Linked DNA regions of Ovis aries. The protein of the gene in region 1 binds, or shares a complex with, the protein of each later gene. Links are inferred from orthologs where the notes say so. Each region holds a gene or a part of one and is shown on either strand. Other genes may lie near its edges.

What was found.
Region 2: PFDN6 (region 1) and DNAAF10 share a complex: the UniProt entries of both Homo sapiens proteins name them as parts of the PAQosome complex. The link is inferred for Ovis aries from reciprocal best matches to the Homo sapiens genes PFDN6 and DNAAF10.
Region 3: PFDN6 (region 1) and ASDURF share a complex: the UniProt entries of both Homo sapiens proteins name them as parts of the PAQosome complex. The link is inferred for Ovis aries from reciprocal best matches to the Homo sapiens genes PFDN6 and ASDURF.

What each region holds. Positions count from the first base shown.
Region 1 is NC_056073.1:7,615,267-7,618,621, forward strand, and holds PFDN6 (prefoldin subunit 6), read left to right. Parts: upstream 1-1,496; 5' UTR 1,497-1,528; exon of another isoform or gene 1,529-1,588; intron 1,589-1,669; 5' UTR 1,670-1,751; coding exon 1,752-1,815; intron 1,816-2,055; coding exon 2,056-2,126; intron 2,127-2,204; coding exon 2,205-2,329; intron 2,330-2,579; coding exon 2,580-2,709; 3' UTR 2,710-2,789; downstream 2,790-3,355. Other genes in the region: WDR46 (WD repeat-containing protein 46), read right to left, coding at 83-170, 295-407, 540-620, 730-924, 1,024-1,092. UniProt on the Homo sapiens protein: Binds specifically to cytosolic chaperonin (c-CPN) and transfers target proteins to it. Binds to nascent polypeptide chain and promotes folding in an environment in which there are many competing pathways for nonnative proteins.
Region 2 is NC_056056.1:40,164,424-40,168,749, reverse strand, and holds the start of DNAAF10 (dynein axonemal assembly factor 10), read right to left. Parts: upstream 2,834-4,326; 5' UTR 2,735-2,833; coding exon 2,552-2,734; intron 1-2,551. Other genes in the region: RNA-binding protein PNO1, read left to right, coding at 3,258-3,464, 3,687-3,836. UniProt on the Homo sapiens protein: Key assembly factor specifically required for the stability of axonemal dynein heavy chains in cytoplasm.
Region 3 is NC_056055.1:119,675,984-119,680,098, reverse strand, and holds the start of ASDURF (ASNSD1 upstream open reading frame protein), read left to right. Parts: upstream 1-1,179; 5' UTR 1,180-1,258; coding exon 1,259-1,348; intron 1,349-3,543; coding exon 3,544-3,597; intron 3,598-4,115.

The DNA.
Region 1 (3,355 bases):
ACTCTTCTCTCCTAGTCCCCACTCCCGTCTTACTCTGCACCATCAGCCAACCCACTGGCCCCTTTTCCATTCTCAGACTCACTTTGGCTGCACTCGCAATGTCCACAGCCTCCACGATGTCAGCCTGGCGAATCTTTGCCGTGTCCTCCCCATCCTCTCCTTCCAGAAACCTGCAAGTGAGCGTGAGAGTTGCATTAAAGCTTCCTAATAAGAAGTGGGTATCCCAGCATCACAATCAGAAATTAGAGCCCCATAAATCAGGGATTGGGGAGGCCCACATCAGGGTCCACTCACCCAGGTTCTTCAGCAAGCAGAAGCTCAGATCGAGCAGCTCTGACACTTGTTTCCTCTTCTTGTGCTTCAGCCACCGCAAGTCGGCTTCGTGTCTTGGTCTTCGCATGTGGTAGCTAAAACAGCGGTGAGAGATGAAGTGAGAGAAGGACCAAGGGATGCGGGGGTCACAGGAGAGCCCCGCCTCCATTCAACTCACCCAGACACTCCCTCCTGCAACCGCTCCCCACTCTCCGACTAGCCCTCACCTCCTTGGATTTGTCAATGCGACAGTACTTCCGAACCACCTCCACACTGACAGGGGCGGGGCCTGCAAATGGGTCCTGGGCCTGCGGCAGGGAGGAGGCAATTAAGAAACAGGCTCGAGCTGACCCCAACCCCCCGACCCTGAAAGCACAAGGCGACTTGCCTCGGCACCCCGGGAGGTCCCAGGCTCACCCCAGAAAAGGTCCGCTGAGGCCCCGGACTCTTCAGTTCTCGGGGTTTCTTGGAGATCCGAAACTTCTTTGAGGTGTCATTTCTCTTTGGCTTCTGGGGGCGGAGCTCTCGACTCCTCTTCCGTTTATGAGGGGGACCTGGAGAAGCTCCGGCCGCAGTCCCAGTGGTCTCTTGCTCCCAGTATCGCCGCGGTTTCTACCAACAGAGCAGGATCCCTCGTATTCCGCTGCCCTTCGCCCCGCCCCTCGAACCCCGCAAATAAAAACTTCCTTTCCACCCCAAGGAGATCCCTACCTTCTTCTTGGCTTGCAGTCTGTCCTTCTTGGGTGGAACATTACTGCCCGGCTTGGGGACTGTCTCCATCTAGCCCACTCGAACCACGATCCACGTGCAAACTCCTCTCCACAGTCCCACAGTGTGATGGAAAACTCCCGGAAGTCCTCCGAGACTCATCCAATCAGCGCCGTTCCAGGTCTGAAGCCTCCTAGGCGCCATCTTTAATGAGGGCGCGCTCCCCACTGAGGGGCGGGACCAAGGCCCCCAGTGCGGCAACTTATGCCCAAGTGATGAAAGACGGGCAGTCCGAGGCCAAGACCCAAGCAACCCTGCAGTTTCTTTTCCCATCTCGGTTTCTCCATCTTGCCTTAAATCCTTCCGCTTCTGGTCTTTTTAGCAGAACGCCACACATTGACCATATTAGAACTACATTTCCCGGCGTGCGCCGGCTCACAGCTTCCGGTGCCGTCTTTCCCCAGCATTCTCTATTTACTTCCGGGTTCACCAATACTGAAGTGAGAGCGTGAGTAGGGGAGCGGTTCGGCTGAGGAGTTCGGGGTACTGCCACTCCCTGAGGCTGGGGGTGAGTCGATATCCCGGACCAGGAGAGACTGCAGTGGGTGGCCCGAGGGGCTGCCTCTCAAGAGGGCTGTCACCTCCGCAGGCCAGAAAGGGGAGCCCGGGTACCTTCCAGAGCGTGAGACCCAGCGCCCCTCTCCCGCTGCCCGCAGGCTTTCGTCCCCGCCATGGCTGAGCTAATCCAGAAGAAGCTGCAGGGGGAAGTGGAGAAATATCAACAGCTGCAGAAGGGTAAGGGAGCAGGGTAGGGGTGACCTCGCGGCAATTCACTCACAACCTGTCTATACCCGAATAATGTATTCTGTCCCACCTCTGGCCCCAGCCTGCGGCTCCTTCCCCTTCTCTGTAGTCTTCCCATTCCCTGTCCCGCCTGCTCATCCTTGCCTGCTTCCTCAGCTCCGCCTTCTTACCAGGACTGTGGTGGTCGGGTGGCACATGAGATGTCTCTAAACAAACCTTTTCATCCGGCAGACTTGAGTAAATCCATGTCAGGGAGGCAGAAACTAGAGGCACAACTAACAGAAAATAATATCGTGAAGGAGGTGAGAGACTGAGATTTGTGGGGCGAGGGGGGACCTGTCTTGGAAGTGATTCTGATGTTTTTCCCACTCCTCCACCAGGAACTGGCCCTGCTGGATGGGTCCAACGTGGTGTTTAAACTTCTGGGGCCCGTGTTGGTCAAACAGGAGCTGGGGGAAGCTCGGGCCACAGTGGGGAAAAGGCTGGACTACATCACAGCTGAGATGTGAGTCTTCCTTCCACCCCACTGTGTTATACTTGATCCGTTGGGAATAAAGGTGCTGAGAAACCTTTCTAGAGTCATTCTCCAGAGCAGCCCCCATTTGAGCAGGTTCTTCAACTCCTTCCTGTGTCCTTCAACTCCTTCCCTTTTCTTCATACTCCCCTTAGAGCTCAAGTTTCTGACCAATCTTGTCTTCAGCACCCTCAAGAGTAAGTCTCACTAATTTCTCATTTGCTTTTTTGCCCTTCCTCAGTAAGCGGTATGAATCCCAGCTCCGAGACCTAGAGCAGCAGTCAGAACAACAGAGGGAGACCCTGGCTCAGCTGCAGCAGGAGTTTCAGAGGGCGCAGGCGGCAAAGGCAGGGGCTCCTGGGAAAGCCTGACCCTGTCCTGGGGGGGTGGGCGGGGGGAGGAATGCGGCAGCTCTAGGGTCTATACTGTAGCTAATAAAATGTGAAAATACCTGGCGTGTTCTGACCAGCCACTTCTGTTGTAACTGTCTCCATCCTTTCCTCTGGTCCCTTCTCCCTCACCCCTATATCACCTGCATTACTCTCTTAGATCCAAATTTGTGCACTGAAATTTGTGTGTGGCAGAGTAACCCTTCTTTCTTGAGACTAAACTCCGAAATGTCTCAAACCTAATCCTTGCCTGTACATGCAAGCCTTAACTCTCTCTTCTCTTGATTGGAAGCAACCAAGAAAAGGGCATTGACAGTGAAACAATTTGGGGGAAAGTTAAGTTTCATTGAAAAACTCACAATTCTCTAACCTGCAGTCCCAGAATGGAACATGGTAATCCTCTTTTGCTATGATTTCTTGTCATCCTCAGAATAGCCCTGGCATCTTAGTTCTTTTTAGTCTCTTTTCTTCCTAGACTTTGTTTAAATGTAGCTTAAATTGGATTTCATATCCCAGCACATAATGCATTGTGATATTCTGAGACCTCCAAGTTTGTACATTGTCCACGAAGTGGTTCTTCCATTTCTTTGTCCTAACATTGTCTTAGGAATTCAGAGCCAAGGGTGTT
Region 2 (4,326 bases), on another chromosome or scaffold:
CCTGTCCCTGGGATTCTCCAGGCAAGAACACTGGAGTGGGTTGCCATTTCCTTCTCCAATGCATGAAAGTGAAAAGTGAAAATGAAGTCACTCAGTCGTGTCCGACTCCCAGCGACCCCATGGACTGCAGCCTACCAGGCTCCTCCGTCCATGGGATTTTCCAGGCAAGAGTCCTGGAGTGCTCTAAAGGCATTTAAAAACTAGTAAACAGATATAAAAATGTTAGTTAATATCCTTATTCTCCAATTCTTCCATTAGTGTAATCTTTACAAAACTTGTAAACCTAACCTTGCCACACCCTGCATAAAGCCCTTCACTGAAGTCCCATTTTTCTTACAAAAACAGGCACAAATCTTTTAAATGATCTACAGCATTTGCAAGGCCTCCTCTCTGCTGTTTTGTTCCAAAAGGAGATAATCTCTCTCCCTCATTGCTGAGCTGTTTCCTCTTGGAAATCTCAACTCCTAATTTGACCTACTTAGCTTTTACTCAATGCAAATCTGGTTTTCTGGTTTTGTTTTTACTCTCATAGAACCATGTGCCTTTACATTAGAGAATTCATCTCAGTTTGTGTTTTATGTATTGTTAGTTTGATTATTTAATTGATTCTCTCTCCCACTAGGAAAAAAAAACTCCATAGTAATCAGGGACATTGTCTGTCATTTACTAGCTGGAGAATACCAGGCAATCAACTGACACTTGTTGAAAGAATAATTGTTTTGGATTGTCTCCTCCAATTACATAGTAGGCATCCTAGTGCCTGCTTTGGCTCTGCTTGTATGACCAAGTATTTTACTATCTTGGACCCATTAAAAGACTCTCCACAGATAAAGAACTAATCTCAAAAATATACAAGCAACTCTTGCAGCTCAATTCCAGAAAAATAAACGACCCAATCAAAAAATGGGCCAAAGAACTAAACAGACATTTTTCCAAAGAAGACATACAGATGGCTAACAAACACATGAAAAGATGCTCAACATCACTCATTATCAGAGAAATGTAAATCAAAACCACAATGAGGTACCATTTCACGCCAGTCAGAATGGCTGCGATCCAAAAGTCTATAAGCAATAAATGCTGGAGAAGGTGTGGAGAAAAGGGAACCCTCTTACACTGTTGGTGGGAATGCAAACTAGTACAGCCACTATGGAGAACAGTGTGGAGATTCCTTAAAAAACTGGAAATAGAACTGCCTTCTGGTACTGCTAAGTCGCTTCAGTCGTGTCCAACTCTGTGTGACCCCATAGATGGAAGCCCACCAGGCTCCCCCATCCCTGGGATTCTCCAGGCAAGAACACTGGAGTGGGTTGCCATTTCCTTCTCCAATGCATGAAAGTGAAAAGTGAAAGGGAAGTCGCTCAGTTGTGTCCCACACTTCTCGACCCCATGGACTGCAGCCTTCCAGGCTTCTCCACCCATGGGATTTTCCAGGCAAGAGTACTGGAGCGGGGTGCCACTGCCTTCTCCAAGAACTGCCTTATGACCCAGCAATCCCACTGCTGGGCATACACACCGAGGAAACCAGAATTGAAAGAGACACGTGTACCCCAATGTTCATCGCAGCACTGTTTATAATAGCCAGGACATGGAAGCAACCTAGATGTCCATCAGCAGATGAATGGATAAGAAAGCTGTGGTACATATACACAATGGAGTATTACTCAGCCATTAAAAAGAATACATTTGAATCAGTTCTGATAAGGTGGATGAAACTGGAGCCTATTATACACAGTGAAGTAAGCCGGAAAGAAAAACATCAATACAGTATACTAACGCATATATATGGAATTTAGAAAGATGGTAACGATAACTCTGTATGCGAGACAGCAAGAGACACAGATGTATAGAACAGTCTTTTGGACTCTGTGGGAGAGGGAGAGGGTGGGATGATTTGGGAGAATGGCATTGAAAGATGTATAATATCATATATGAAACGAATCGCCAGTCCAGGTTCCATGCATGATACAGGATGCTTGGGGCTAGTGCACTGGGATGACCGAGAGGGATGGTACGGGGAGGGAGGTGGGAGGGGGGTTCAGGATGGGGAACACGTGTACACCCGTGGCGGATTCATGTTGATGTATGGCAAAACCAATACAATATTGTAAAGTAATTAGCCTCTAATTAAAATAAATAAATTTATATTAAAAATAACATTCAAAAAATAAAAAGAAAAAAAGACTCTCCACAAACAAATGCGCACTGCCCAGAAACGCCTCGAATTTAAACGTGAAGTTATAACGTCACCTCCAGGGACCTCGCACTGGACTGGGAGAAGGGTGGGGATGGCTGGAGGAAGGGACCAGCAAAGCAGGAATGAATTAGCCCGATGAGAATTCAGGTCTCGAACGAAAGCGTTTTACGTCGGAATTATTCCTCAGTCTGCGGTCAGATTCGCTACTCCCGCGCAGTTTCAGCACCGCTTTGGGGGGACGCTGGACAAAGGCTTTGGCAAAAAGGAACGCAGAACTCCCGCCCCCAAGATCCGCACTCCCCTCCAGGAGCAGTCCCAGATTTTGGAACTGGGAGGTCTCGACCCGGCACCCACCTCCCGCAGCAGCTTTAGGTCCCCTTGCTGGATCTCGTACAGCTGAATGACGCCGGTGCCCCGTGCGAAGTTGCCCATGGTCACAAATTTGGCGCTGCAGGGCATCCACTTACAGTCAAACACCGTGTAATTGAGGCTCTTCTGGATATGCGAGATGATCTGAGGCTTCTCAAAGGCCGACATGGTCCAGCCGAGAGATTTCGCCTCCGCCAAGCGGGACACAGCCAACAAACCCTGACGAAACAAACCTGGAAACCAGAGTCCAAACGTTACGGATAGTTTGTCCCTCCCGCCTGCCGTAGGCGCCCCTAGAAACCTAACAAGCAGTTTTAGGTTTCTCAGATAATGCCGGATGCTCTAGTGCAGGCCCACAAGAGTTTCCTTCCCCAACAACACAAACTTGTTATGGCTTTACCTAGTGCCTTTCGTACAGATACAGATTATGGGTTATAAAGCGCGCTGACTGCGAGAGGTGTGGGCAGAGGGCGAACCTAAGAATCAGGCATATTTTAGGACAGCCCTCCCTCCTCACCAACAAACACGCAGAAACTCCCGCTTTAGGTCCCCCGCATGGGACGTCTTAGGAAAGAGGGCGGAGCCCTGGGGCTGGTTGGCGGAGGTTGGGGGCCTGTGAGGCGCGCCTGCGCGGTACAGCCTCGCACGTGTTGAAGCTGGAAGCTGAGGTTGGGGCTGGAGGCTCTGGAGAATGGAAAGCGTGATGGAGGCACAGAGCCCGTTGGCCGAGGACGGCTTCAGTCAGGTCACCCGCAAAGGTGGCCGGCGGGCGAAGAAACGGCAGGCTGAGCAGCCGTCCACGCCGGAGGAGGGAGGCGACGCGACCTGCATGGACACCGAGGAAGCTCGACCCGCTAAGAGGCCCGTCTTCCCGCCCCTCTCCGGGGACGGGTTCCTGGTACTGGCTGGGACCGAGGAACAGGAACGGGGCTGGGGCCAGAGACGGGTCGGCCCGGTGGCCTCTGGGTGATGACGCTTTTTCTGGAGTGAAGCTCAGAGCGGCGACTCTCCTGGTGTTTAATCTGTCCAATTAAAGGAGGCTTTTTGAGGATCAGTTGTCGTTACAACTTCACCCTCATTCCTTTAAACAACTGCTGAGTTGTGTTTTCTTTTGTCGTAGAATGGGAAAGAAGAAACCAGGAAAATTCCAGTCCCAGCTAACAGATACACGCCACTAAAAGAGAACTGGCTGAAGATATTTACTCCTATTGTGGAGCATTTGGGACTTCAGATACGCTTTAACTTGAAATCGAGGAATGTTGAAATCAGAGTAAGGAGACTATTAACCACTTTAAAATATGCCGAGGTTTTTCTGTCCTAGGAAGAAAGAACAGACTTTCTAGGAATTCTTAGTGGGACTTACCTTGTTGAATGAGTTTCTTCCAGTTTGACCTGAAACTAAACTAAACTACCAGCTGCGTTTCAGCACATTTTAAAGTGTTCTGTGTTGATTGATTAAAGGGTTAATAAAGAGGTTATCGTCAATAGAAGTATGTAAATGAGCAGCCGAAGTACTTGCTGTAGTACAGATACTATATTTTAGTGTTACTTTTTAGGAAAAAATAAGTTTTGAGAGTAAGTGTAAATTACGTAAAAATATTTGTTTATTCATTCCATGATGTCAGTCTAGGAGGTGGACAATTAAAATTAATAGATGGGGTTTTTTTTCCTGTGGATTCCAATTGTGCATTCGAATCAGTGACCAAAATTAATTATATCTTCCATTTTAAGGATTCATTATCAGGGTTGTTATAGACTTA
Region 3 (4,115 bases), on another chromosome or scaffold:
AAGTGATGGGACCAGATGCCATGATCTTCGTTTTCTGAATGTTGAGCTTTAAGCCAACTTTTTCACTGTCCTCTTTCACTTTCATCAAGAGGCTTTTGAGTTCCTCTTCACTTTCTGCCATAAGGGTGGTGTCATCTGCATATCTGAGGTTATTGATATTTCTCCCGGGAATCTATTCCAGCTTGTGCTTCTTCCAGTCCAGCATTTCTCATGATGTACTCTGCATAGAAGTTAAATAAGCAGGGTGACAATATACAGCCTTGATGTACTCCTTTTCCTATTTAGAACAAGTCTGTTGTTCCATGTCCAGTTCTAATTGTTGCTTCCTGACCTGCATATAGGTTTCTCAAGAGGCAGGTCAGGTGGTCTGTATTCCCATCTCTTGAAGAATTTTCCAGTTTACTGTGATCCACAGAGAGGCTTTGGCATAGTCAATAAAGCAGAAATAGATGGTTTCCTGGAACTCTCTTGTTTTTTCAGTGATCCAGCGGATGTTGGCAATTTGATCTCTGGTTCCTCTACCTTTTCTAATACCAGCTTGAACATCTGGAAGTTCACGGTTCATGTATTGCTGAAGCCTGGCTTGGAGAATTTTAAGCGTGTGAGATGAGTGCAATTGTGTGGTAATTTGAGCATTCTTTGGCATTGCCTTTCTTTGGGATTGGAATGAAAACTGACCTTTTCCAGTCCTGTGGCCACTGCTGAGTTCTCCAAATTTGCTGGCATATTAAGTGCATCACTTTCACAGCATCATCTTTCAGGATTTGAGATAGCTCAACTGGAATGCCATCACCTCCACTAGCTTTTTCGCAGTGATGCTTTCTAAGGCCCACTTGACTTCACATTCCAGGATGTCTGGCTCTAGGTGAGTGATCATACCATCGTGATAACCTTGGTTTTTTCCTAGATAATAAATATTAAGCGGTGTTTCTACTGAGCTTCTATTCTTCATAGTCACCACTAGGGGGCGCATATAATTTACAGTCTACTAGATGCCACAGGGTAAAGAGCGTTTCAACATCCCAACCGCTAGGGTCCGTTCGGGCCCCTAACTTGTGCGCACGCGCGCGAGTACTCCTAGCCCAGATCCGGCCTGCGCAGGCGTTCCAGTGAGCACGCAGACGCCGTTGATAGGACTCACCGGAAATTGAAAGGGAGGGGCTGGGCCGCGGGGAGCGCAGACGCGCAGGGGCTGCGGACGCGGAACTGCTGGGGTGCCGCCCGGCCTCGCGCCCTGCCTGTTTGCTTCTCCGCGGAGATGCCCAGCCGGGGTGAGCGACCCGAGGACGGCGCTGGGCCCGTCCCTGCTGAGAGCTCGACCCTGCACAAGGACGAGCTCAGCAGCAAGGTGAGTGCGGGACGAGGTAACATGGCCCTCGGGCTGCTCACCGCCGGAGACGAGCCTCGGTGGCCGCGTGCTCTAGTCTCGACTTTGCCCTGCTGCGAGAGGCACAGTTAAAGGGACACCTTGAAACTTGCCCCGAGATTAGACCCAGATGGTAGTAAGGCGGAAGTTTAGTTGGTTTTATTTTATCAATTTTTAACATATTTTAAAGTATCATACAGTAAAATTTGGCTCTTTTTCGTTTTCTCTGTATTTAACACGTGTCTAAATTTGTGTGACCACCGCCACAATTGGAATATAGACAAGTTCCACGACCCTGAAAGACTCCCTTTATAGGCATGCTCTCCCCCGCCCAGAACCTCTGGCCGTCCCTGATCTGCTCTACATCAGGACAGTTTTATCCTTCCCAGCACATCATGTAGTGAAATCACAGCTTATGCCTCTCCAAGCTTAATGTCTTTGAGATTCACGGTTGGATTTTTTTCTATGTATTCTTAGTTAAAACTTTTAGAAATTACCTCCCACCCTAGATCTGCTGCCTGCGGTCTCAGAAAATGTCAGCGCCATCCATGCAGTTGTCCATGCCAGTAACCTGGGAGCCCATCTTTGCATCCGTCACGAAGTTCTGTCCTTTGTAAGGTGTCCCTTTATCACTGTGTACACTTTTAACCATCTTAAACCCGCCCCTTGCATGTGCCATAGGGAATCCTGCAAAAGTTTCCTAACTGGTCTCTCCTTAGCCATTGTTGCCTTCTTCTCCCCTATCCTTCATTTAGCTGGAGCGGAGAAGGCAGTGGCACCCCACTCCAGTACTCTTACCTGGAAAATCCCATGGATGGAGGAGCCTGGTGGGCTGCAGTCCATGGGGTCGCTAAGAGTCAGACAGGACTGAGCAACTTCACTTTCACTTTTCACTTTAATGCATTGGAGAAGGAAATGGCAACCCACTCCAGCGTTCTTGCCTGGAGAATCCCAGGGATGGGGGAGCCTAGTGGGCTGCCGTCTCTGGGGTCTCACAGAGTCGGACACGACTGAAGCGACCTAGCAGTAGCAGCAGCAGCATGCTCCTAAAAATGTTATTTCATTGTTGCTCTTCTGCTCCTCCCCTCACAAAAGGGAGCCAATATAAGGCCATAAATGGAAAAAAGAAAAAAAATTTTTTTAACATTTGAAATGAGGATGGCTATAATCTTTCAGGTAATAGATGTCTAAGATAATACTTTGGTTCTGTCCCAAACTGACACTGGCATCTTGGGCACATCTCTGATTCCTCTGTTACAGTTTCCTTGTCTGAAGTTCTAAAGTATACCTACCATTCCTAAAATGAATGGGAAAGTGCTATTCAAACATAAGCCTTAAAAGGAAGTTGTACAAATTCAGTCTTGGAATTCAACTCAATCTCTGTAATCAGTCACTACAGTGACTGGCAGCTGGAAAGCAGAAGGGTACACATCTGTGGGGAATGAATTTTCAGACTGCACACAGCCTGCTCTGATTCCTACCATAGCATGCCCTTTACTCTTGCCTGGTGGGCTCCTCCATGGGGTTGCAAAGAGTCGGACACGACTAAGCGACTTCTTTCACTTTTCACTTTCATGCATTGGAGAAGGAAATGGCAACCCACTCCAGTGTTCTTGCCTGGAGAATCCCAGGGACGGCGGTGCCTGGTGGGCTGCCATCTCTGGGGTCGCACAGGATGGGACACGACTGAAGCGACTTAGCAGCAGCAGCATGCCACTTATACTGATGTATGACAGATCCCCAGGCATCAGAGGTTACAAAATAACACTGTTTAGAGGCTATGGTGACACTGTGTAATCAATCATGTTTGCAGTATCACTATCATTACTGAAAAGAGTTTAAAAGAAATTTAGTTTCCATTTAGTTGAGCCCTGCTACTGCTAAGTCACTTCAGTCGTGTCCGACTCGGTGCAACCCCATAGATGGCAGCCCACCAGGCTCCCCCATCCCTGGGGTTCTCCAGGCAAGAACACTGGAGTGGGTAGCTATTTCCTTCTCCAGTGCATGAAAGTGAAAAGTGAAAGTGAAGTCGTTCAGTCGTGGCCAACTCTTAGTGACCCCATGGACTGCAGCCTACCAGGCTCCTCTGTCCATGGGATTTTCCAGGCAAGAGTACGGGCTCTTATTGAGCATGCTTTGATAATCTCTGATTTAGTACGTTTTCTTTATTTCAATAGATTAAAGAACAAAAAGTTGTTGTGGATGAACTTTCTAACCTGAAGAAGAACAGGGTGAGTTATTAGCATTACTCTGAATACTATGTGGGAGGATTTGATATCAACTGTATAAATCTATGTATTAATCATAGTTGCTGATAATCTTTCCCCAACATATGCAATTGACATTACCTGCGAATCAAATGATACTGATTGTACTATGTTATCCTGGAGCTTTAGTCAATAATGGTATTTATTTTGTACTTGAATTTGGTGTATTCTTTTGACATAAACATTGAATCTGTTGAGAAGAGGAGAAGCTATACAAGTGAATGTGGATAATTATTTTTTGTTTGTTTATTTTTTAAAAAAGATAAATGCTACCACCTCCTCTCCCTACCTCCTCAGGTTTTTACTCCAAGCTTCCAAATCCTTAACGTGGTTATTTAACTCCATTTTCATTAATGTATTTATAGATAAGCAAGCTTCTGCTTAGTGTGTCATTATACTGCCAAACATTGTGTTTTAAAGTTAAGAAATGATTTGAGCCCTTTAAAGCTTTTAAAGGTTACTGGATAACAGACAGGTTAGAC